Oryzias latipes: one gene and its partner. The protein of the gene in region 1 binds, or shares a complex with, the protein of each later gene. Links are inferred from orthologs where the notes say so. Each region holds a gene or a part of one and is shown on either strand. Other genes may lie near its edges.

Evidence for each region. Proteins that work in one complex are often made in the same cells at the same time.
Region 2: virma (region 1) and mettl14 share a complex: the UniProt entries of both Homo sapiens proteins name them as parts of the WMM complex. The link is inferred for Oryzias latipes from reciprocal best matches to the Homo sapiens genes VIRMA and METTL14.

What each region holds. Positions count from the first base shown.
Region 1 is NC_019874.2:17,760,397-17,764,204, forward strand, and holds the end of virma (protein virilizer homolog), read right to left. Parts: coding exon 3,708-3,808; intron 3,627-3,707; coding exon 3,409-3,626; intron 3,324-3,408; coding exon 3,191-3,323; intron 2,923-3,190; coding exon 2,782-2,922; intron 2,680-2,781; coding exon 2,525-2,679; intron 2,327-2,524; coding exon 2,230-2,326; intron 2,013-2,229; coding exon 1,846-2,012; intron 1,764-1,845; coding exon 1,414-1,763; intron 1,300-1,413; coding exon 1,150-1,299; intron 1,069-1,149; coding exon 869-1,068; 3' UTR 665-868; downstream 1-664. Other genes in the region: RING finger protein 151-like, read left to right, coding at 133-510. UniProt on the Homo sapiens protein: Associated component of the WMM complex, a complex that mediates N6-methyladenosine (m6A) methylation of RNAs, a modification that plays a role in the efficiency of mRNA splicing and RNA processing.
Region 2 is NC_019859.2:14,173,199-14,177,729, reverse strand, and holds the start of mettl14 (N6-adenosine-methyltransferase non-catalytic subunit), read right to left. Parts: upstream 2,971-4,531; 5' UTR 2,574-2,970; coding exon 2,508-2,573; intron 2,278-2,507; coding exon 2,189-2,277; intron 1,944-2,188; coding exon 1,856-1,943; intron 1-1,855. UniProt on the Homo sapiens protein: The METTL3-METTL14 heterodimer forms a N6-methyltransferase complex that methylates adenosine residues at the N(6) position of some mRNAs and regulates the circadian clock, differentiation of embryonic stem cells and cortical neurogenesis.

The DNA of each region.
Region 1 (3,808 bases):
AATGCATTTAATGCAAATCTCTTACTTGAGGAGTGTGTCCTTTGTCATTTTAGAATCTGTAATACATTTTTGGGGTTTAAGTTCCTCTTTTAAGTGTTTGAATCCCTGATGTGAACAGTTTTTCTTCTGCAGGGTCAGATATCCCGTGTGATGTGTGACATGCACGCTGTGTTGGGAGCAGAGCGCCTGAGGAGGCAGGAGTTAGCAGAGGCAGAGCTTGAGAAGAGGGAACTGTTGGAGCTTCTCCGAGACCTGCAGTTCACGAAGAATCAACAATCGGCAGAGCCGTCAGTCAAGAGCCAGCTCCAGGAAGATGAGCAGACACCCTGCAGGGACCGGACTCGCCAGCCGGGAGAGACTCCTTTACATGCCTCCAGTCTGTCCCTGGCCTCACCTCCCAACTGCGCCGGCCACTCCTCACCTCAGCTGGGGGACGGGCTGCGAAAAGGCCCCCGCAGTTTGACTCTCCAATGCATCAAAAGGAAAAGTCGGGAGGTGACGGTCATCTGAATACATATATAAGAATTAAGGCAATTTTGTATGTTGTAAAATAAATTAGTTAAAAAATAAAGTTGTGTTTTTATGAAGTCTTTGAATCATGAGCATTTCTGTCTTCAGAAGCATCGACCCATCAAACAGGCTTTAAAAAATTCACCACCACCAATCCCATGATTTGGTGTTTTCTTTAAAACACACAAAGAGTTACAACTGCCTTTATTCTCTAAACACGCCTCATGATAACAAAACATAAAACATCAATAGTCTGTATTACAACATCACGTAAGCATGTTTCCATGGAGATGGCAGACATCCCATCTGGTTGGTCCATTTCCAGTCAGAAGAAGCTGAAGTTTTCAACCAGGTGAGTTCACCTGGTGAAGGATCGCACATGCCTGCCCCTCCCACCTCCGCTTCCTCCCCCACCACTGAATTTGCTCCCCTGAGATCCTCTTCCACCTCCTCCAACTCCACCAGCGTTCCCAGCACCTCCTCCCCCGCTAAGCCAGGACAATCCGGCGCCTCCTCTGCCCCGTGGAGCTCGATCACGAATAGCCAGACGATAAGCACCTTAAAAAATGTTTTTAAAAGAGTTTTAACTTTAGTACTGCAGGTTAAAAGCAATGATGGAAACATGTTAGCTCTACATACTTGCAGGGGGTTGTCGGGAAGGCAAAGGTCCTCGGGCGAAGTTGCTCTGCCCTCCGCGGGGTTCACTGTAGGTTCCTCTGTGGGTGATTGTTGGAACCTGACCACTCCACGAGGAACCACGGCCTCCTTCCCTCCGAGTGTAGTTACCTACTGAAACCCAAAGAAGTCAATCATCATCCTCTACAGGCCAACCATCAAAAAAAAAAATGAAACCTTTGCACATCACCCATGTGACCCGTTTCACTAAGGATTGTGGGTATTTACCTGATAGCAGAACAGCTTTTGGCTGTGGTGGAGTAAAAAAGCGCGTCTGGTTGTGGAAGGTGGCTCTGCCTCTATTCCCAGTGAACAGACCTCTGGTGGGAGGCTTGGGGAGGCTCTTGGGGAGACGTTTGTTGGGTAGAAGTCCGAGCGGGGTGGTAATGTCTTTAAACTCCGCTGCAACAAAGTCGTCCACATGCATGCTGGGAGGACGGGATGTATTTTGTTTCCTTAGACGGAAAATATCATGGGGCCGTGACATGTTTTGTCCAAACCCTCCCCGACCCCCACGACCACGAGGGGCAGGCATGATGTGAGCCCTTTTGGCAGGTTCAACATAGTCGGATTTACCACTGAGAAACAAGCAAAACAAAATATAAATTTAAATACAAGATACTCGGTCATATGAAAATTCATGTCAGGCTCAAGTTGTACCTCGATGTGATGAAGGTCTCGTGTTTGTGTTTGCCAAGTCGGAAGCCTTTCGTAGCCTTAGTGTGACCCGGGGAAGACGGCTCAGACAGGAAGGAGCGCTCCAACTCAGCTTTCAGGTCGAGTTCTGGACAACATTCCTGTGCCAAAGCAACCAGGTCCACTTTGACCTGCAACACAGGAAAAAGAAGCACAAGAATGTGTGAAAGTTCTTTCGTCTGCAAGATGAAAAAAGGAAAATCTTTATTTATTTTTAGAAAAAATAATAAATTGTGAGGTTTATTTTACGTGTTTAAAAGCAAAGATATGTTACTCCTTCAAAGGTGACCGTAATTATGACAGAAAAGAGAGCATGTCTGAAGATTGCAGACAGAGAGACAAACATACCATGTCAAGATCAGTTTCTATGTCATCTGTTTGGAAAGGAGAAAACCACAGAGCCTTCAGCTGCTCATCCAGTGCCTCAGACAGAATGAACACTGTCCTGCAGATGGAAATAGGAAGTTCTTAACAATCAATTGTGTCTATTGTATTGTAATAATGTGCATTTATGCAACTTTTTGTCATTATAAGCTAATAGTTTTCCTAAAAATGGCAAAATTATTTAGAAAAAAAATTAAGAAAACAACTGGTAAAAATAAAAAACTGATATCTTTGTAATTAAGGGCCATTTTATGCAAACCTGTGGTTAAACTGAGCTGCAAGTGTCTCAGGAGGAGGCAGAATGGGCTCAGTTTCAACCACTGGAGCTGTGTCTGAAGCCACCTCCAGCGTCTGCCTCAGAACAATCACATTTTCCAACATGGTTTCCATGGAATCGTCTTCTTTACAAAGTTTCTATGGGCACAAACACACCGTTAAAAACCAAAACGCAATAAACATTTATAAAAATAAAATTTCAAAAAAAGTTACAAAAATTGAGATTGGAAATATATTTACAGTTAATAATTTCTCCAAAGAAGATATTGGATGAGACTCAGACTCCTCCCACTGCAGCAGAGCTTTCATCTCAGAAGGCGACATCAGTCGTGGATGAACAAAAACAGGCTCCTCGCTGGAGCCCTGACCCTCCTCAACACACTGTTTCCAAAGAAAAAAATATTTTAGAATCTAAAACAAAACATGCCACGTAAAAAGTAAATAGTTACTGAAAAAAGGTGTTATCACTTCTTTCTCTGACAACAAATCTTTAGCTACATTCACAGTGTCTTCTGAAACATGTGTCTATGCAACCACTTCCAATGAAAGGTCTATCTTAATGCACGTAAATGCGTGTTTCAGGCTTGTGCAGGATGTTTATCTTATTAAAAAAACTTCAAAATAAAGCAGATTTAAAAGATGCACCTACCATTGTTTCTGTGTTGACAATCTGCCTGAGAAAGTCAAGCAGAGCAGAAAGCAAATCTGCTGAATCCTTGCTGAAGCTTGAAATCAGTCTTTTGAGCAGTGAGAACACCTCACTACTATGTTTCTTCAAAGCACTAAAGGAAAAAAAAGGTAGATATGATGTTAAGTAAAAGCAGATATTCAACCTGAAATAAAAATAACGGAAAAATGTGAAATTACACTTTGAGGTGGTAGATTCCATAGTTATGCTCAGTGAGGAAAGTTAGAGTCCTGATGCAGGTGAGGAGGAGCGGGACGCTGCTCTCTTTATTGCCTAAAACCTCCAACAAGGAAGTGCACACTGATGACATCATCTCTCGCCCGGGCAGTGCATTGGCCAGCAGCTCCACCTCTGCCATACAGCCCTCCCCAGGGTGTGACACCACCAGGGATATGTCCTAACATCCCAAGTGAAAAATATTTTTAGGGGTTTTTCACTAAAGGTCAAAACTTTGTCTGAAGCCTACGGCAGATCCTACCTGGTCACACAGTGACTGGAATATTGTCCCAACTAGAACACTGCACTGCTGCTGTGGTAAGGAGTGAACCGCGGGAGGGATCAGCAGAGACAAAAGCAAAG
Region 2 (4,531 bases), on another chromosome or scaffold:
ATTTAGCAAGTTCTCCCATTTAGAAAACATGGAGGGGTCTAAAGTTTTCATCATAGGTGCATTTCCACAGTGAGAGACAGAATCTGAAGAAACATTCAAACATTCAGAAATCACTTTGTACGATTTAAAAAAAAATGTATTTGTATATTACTGTGACAAATAAGTATTTGATCACTTGATTATCAGATTTTCTGACCAGCAAAGACCTGCTGTTCTGCTTTTAAATAGTCCAACTCCACTCTGCTCATAATTCTAAATTATTGGCACCTGTTTGAGGTGGTTAGCTTCCATAAAGGCACCTGTGCCCCCCACAATCAGTCAGAAGTCTAACTACCAACATGGGCAAAACCAAAGAGCTGTCAAAAGAAACGAGACAAAATTGTAGACCTTCACAAAGCTGGAAATGGCTATGGGGCAATTGCCAAGCAGCTTGGTGAGAAAAGAACAACTGTTGGAGCAATTGTCAGAAAATGGAAGAGGCTAATGATGACTGACAATGTCCCTCGGACTGAGGCCCCTTGCAAGATCTCACCTCATGGGGTATCGATGATGCTAAGGAAGGTGAAGAATCAGCCCAGGACTAAAGGGGAGGAGCTGGTCAATGACCCGAAGAGAGCTGGGACCACCGTTTCCAAGGCTACTATAAGTAATACATTAAAACGTCATGGTTTAAAATCATGTATCGCACGGAAGGTTCCCCTGCTGAAGTCAGCCCATGTCAAGGCCCGTCTGAAGTTTGCCAATGACCATCTTGATGAGCCAGAGGAGTCATGGGAAAAAGTCTTGTGGTCAGATGAGACCAAAATAAAACTTTATTGATCTTAACTCCATTCGGCGTGTTTGGAGGAGGAAGAAGGAGGAGCATCATCCCAAGAACACCATACCTACAGTGAAGCACGGGGGTGGAAGCATCATGCTCTGGGGGTGTTTTTCTGCAGAGGGGACAGGACGACTGCACTGTATTAAGGAGAGGATGAACGTGGCTCTGTATTGTGATATATTGGGCAAAAACCTCCTTACCTCAGTCAGAGCGTTGAAGATGGGTCGTGGCTGGGTCTTTCAGCAGGACAATGACCCGAAGCACACAGCCAAGAAAACCAAGGAGTGGCTCCGTAAGAAGCATATCAAGGTTCTGGAGTGGCTTAGCCAGTCTCCAGACCTAAATCCAATAGAGAATCTTTGGAGGGAGCTGAAACGCCGTGTGTCTCAGCAACAGCCCCGAACCCTGACAGATCTAGAGAAGATCTGTATGGAGGAGTGGGCCAAAATCCCTGCTGCAGTGTGTAGAAACCTAGTGAAGAACTACAAGAACCGTTTAACCTCTGTAATTGTTAACAAAGGCTTCTGTACCAAATATTAAAGTTGTTTAACTCAAGTGATCAAATACTTATTTGTCACAGTAATATACAAATAAATTGTTTAAAAAAATTGTACAACGTGATTTCTGAATATTTCCTCAGATTCTGTCTCTCACTGTGGAAATGCACCCATGATGAAGATTTTAGACCCCTCCATCTTTTCTTAGTGGGAGAACTTGATAAATCACAGGGTGATCAAATACTTATTGACCTCACTGTATATAATTCCACATGTGTTAATTCATAGTTGTGATGCCTTCAGTTTGAATCTACAATTTTCATAGTCATGACAATAAAGAAAACTCTTTGAATGAGAAGATCTGTCCAAACTTTTGGTCTGTACTGTATGTATGTATGTACACTTGCTATATATAAAAAAATGAATAAACAAAGTAAACATGACTGAATTAAGAACTATAGACCTAAGCTGGAGAGCAGACGTTCTATGCATGTGCAGGTTCGCAGTAGTGGTAACAGTCAGAAAACGTAGTGCTCACTTTCTGTTCCTCCACATCCTCCTCTGTGTCCTCTCCTTCTGTCGGCTGCTTCCTTTTGGAAGAGGGGAGCAGGCTGTCATATGAAGCCCTGCACAACACAAATATTTATGATTTGTTTCAACATCCCTGCATCAGCATGCACAAAGATCAATGCACAACTTTAAGGGATGGAGAAAGTGATTTTTATCCAGAACTACATCTGGATTCTAACAAACTAGTCACATAGCATAGTTTCTGACTGATTAGCCATTAGCTACAGACTATGTTTCTCTAACCGGCTCCATACAAATATTATTGGGGTTTTGTATTTTCCGTGGATGAATGTTGTGCTACCTGCAAGTTTCTCTGGTTTCCTCGATCTCCTTTAATTCATCCTTGCTGTGAAGGACAGCTCCAATGCTGTCAGCGCTTTCTGCCCCCAACTGTGGGAGTATATTGAAGAATCAGACTGTTTTTGAGGACAACAATGCAAGCAAGCAATGCCAAATGCGTAGCTAACTCATAATTAACCATTATGGAGATGTAAACACTATTAGAAGAGTGATTCAGAGTGGATACAAATATAGAAAGTGTGTTTCTTCGACTTAAACTATGATTATGTTAGCTGACTGTAGCTGTTTGCTATAACAACAGCGACTCTGTGTGTACTTGCCTGTTGGGCTAACAGTTGCCGCCTTAGTTTTTGCCTCTCGCGGATCTCTTGCAGCCTACTGTTCATATTTCCCCTCGTGGCAATTTGTCACAGAAGATTAAAAACCGCGTGGGTTTGTTTTTATTCGGAATAGATTAAGTATTTCATTTAGCATGGAAAGCAACATGCAAGCAGTAGCTAGCTGGCTCTCAGAGAGAAAGCCGCTAAAATATATTTAAAGGGTACGCTCGATATTAACCTCGTCACATCCGAACCAAGTTGAGTTTGTCTAAGTCGTAACGGACGTTGGTGAAATTTTATTTATTTTGTAATGTCGGTGCTCAATTGTAGCTAATTTACCTTAAACCTTTAATATAAATGAATTAAGCTGTAGCGTTGAGCGCATACAGACATTGAAATGCACGAGAACCGGAGCACGCCGGTGAATTTACGATTTAGCAAAATTGTAACTGGTCGCGTAATGATGGCGTCATCTTCAGAACGCATGTGTTTGACGTTTAGAGTTTGCACAACAAGCTGGTGCAGCATTCTATGATCCACTGTGATCTTTTTCCCCATCTGAGGCCTTTATATGGATCATATTGATTAGCTAAGCATGCCCCTATAATTAACCAGGGTATATCATTTTTTTAAATCAAAGATTAATATATAAGAACTTATAACCTTTTCTGAAAAACGTTTTTAATGGTGTTTGTGGAGGGGTGCAGCGAAGGGGGTAGGCTAGGAAATCCGATATGGCCACTCGTGGAATACCATTGGCTACCTTTGCCCCGAGATATATACATTACTGATGGATGTTCAAATCCATCAAGCTATGCTTTTTCCAAATGTGGACTAACACTCACATACTGGTTCAGGGTATTTTTAATTTACGATCAGGACCAGCTTTACCCTTTATTCTCATTTAATTTTTTCAGGGGTTGCTTCAGTAGGCTAAATCACCCACCTCTATTCTACCAAGACTAACACACCAACTACTCTCCATTATTTCTGTGGACCTCCTCTTGATCTGCCCTTAAGCCTCATTCCTGCCAGCTCTAACATCAGCATCCTTGAAAGGATGCTGAATACATCTACACATTCACAATCTGGCTTCCCTGCATTTATCTCCAAATGATCCTACATGAGTTGTTCCTTTGATGGATTTATCCACGATCATCCATCTTCATCACTCCTAAAGAGAACCTCAACATCTTCATCCCTAACACATCCAGCTCTCTTGACTTTCTCAGTGCCCCTAACTGTAGAATACATTGCCATTTCCATTCAATTTTCAATTAAACACAATATTTGTAATCAGAACAGTCAACCAATGAAAGATCTTTTTAAGGGTAAGCCTATATGAAATAAATATTTATAAATTGGAAAATAAAAATCAATAACGTGATTTTTGAATTGACATACAAAATATTAATTGATCATTCAGAATTACAGTAGTAATATATTTCAACTTCAAAATATGTTTTTTGTTGTTGTTGAAAGCTTGGATTATTGAGCATTTTGGATGTTTCAAATTCATACATTTTTTTTAAATTAGTGATGGAACATTTTCATTCTAAAAAACGATTTTAATTGCCACTGATACCCAATTTCTGTAAAATCTGCAGCCAAAATGGAGAAAAAAAAGGAGAAATAGCTATAAAAAGACTCACTTTGTGTGTACAATTTAATTAAATTTATTGAAAAACTTCAACTGAGCATTAGAATTTTTAGAACCTGTGCATTTACCATTTTAACCACCTAGTCTTTATCAAGATTTTCTAAGACAATGCAACCCAGTTTAGCCATCCCAGTAAAAAAAATACAAATAAATAATAATAATGATAAATGAATGGGAAAAATAGGTCCGGCACGTGTCACTGTCATTGTGGGGCTTGGAGTTAATCACTGTGGATCCAGCTCCTGCAAATGAACCCAAAAACTACTGGAATTTAAACTCTTGGATGTGTCCTGCAGCTCAACTGTGATCCACGTGTGACGATAAACAAATACATTTATAAAAATGTGGTTAACTTGCATTTCAT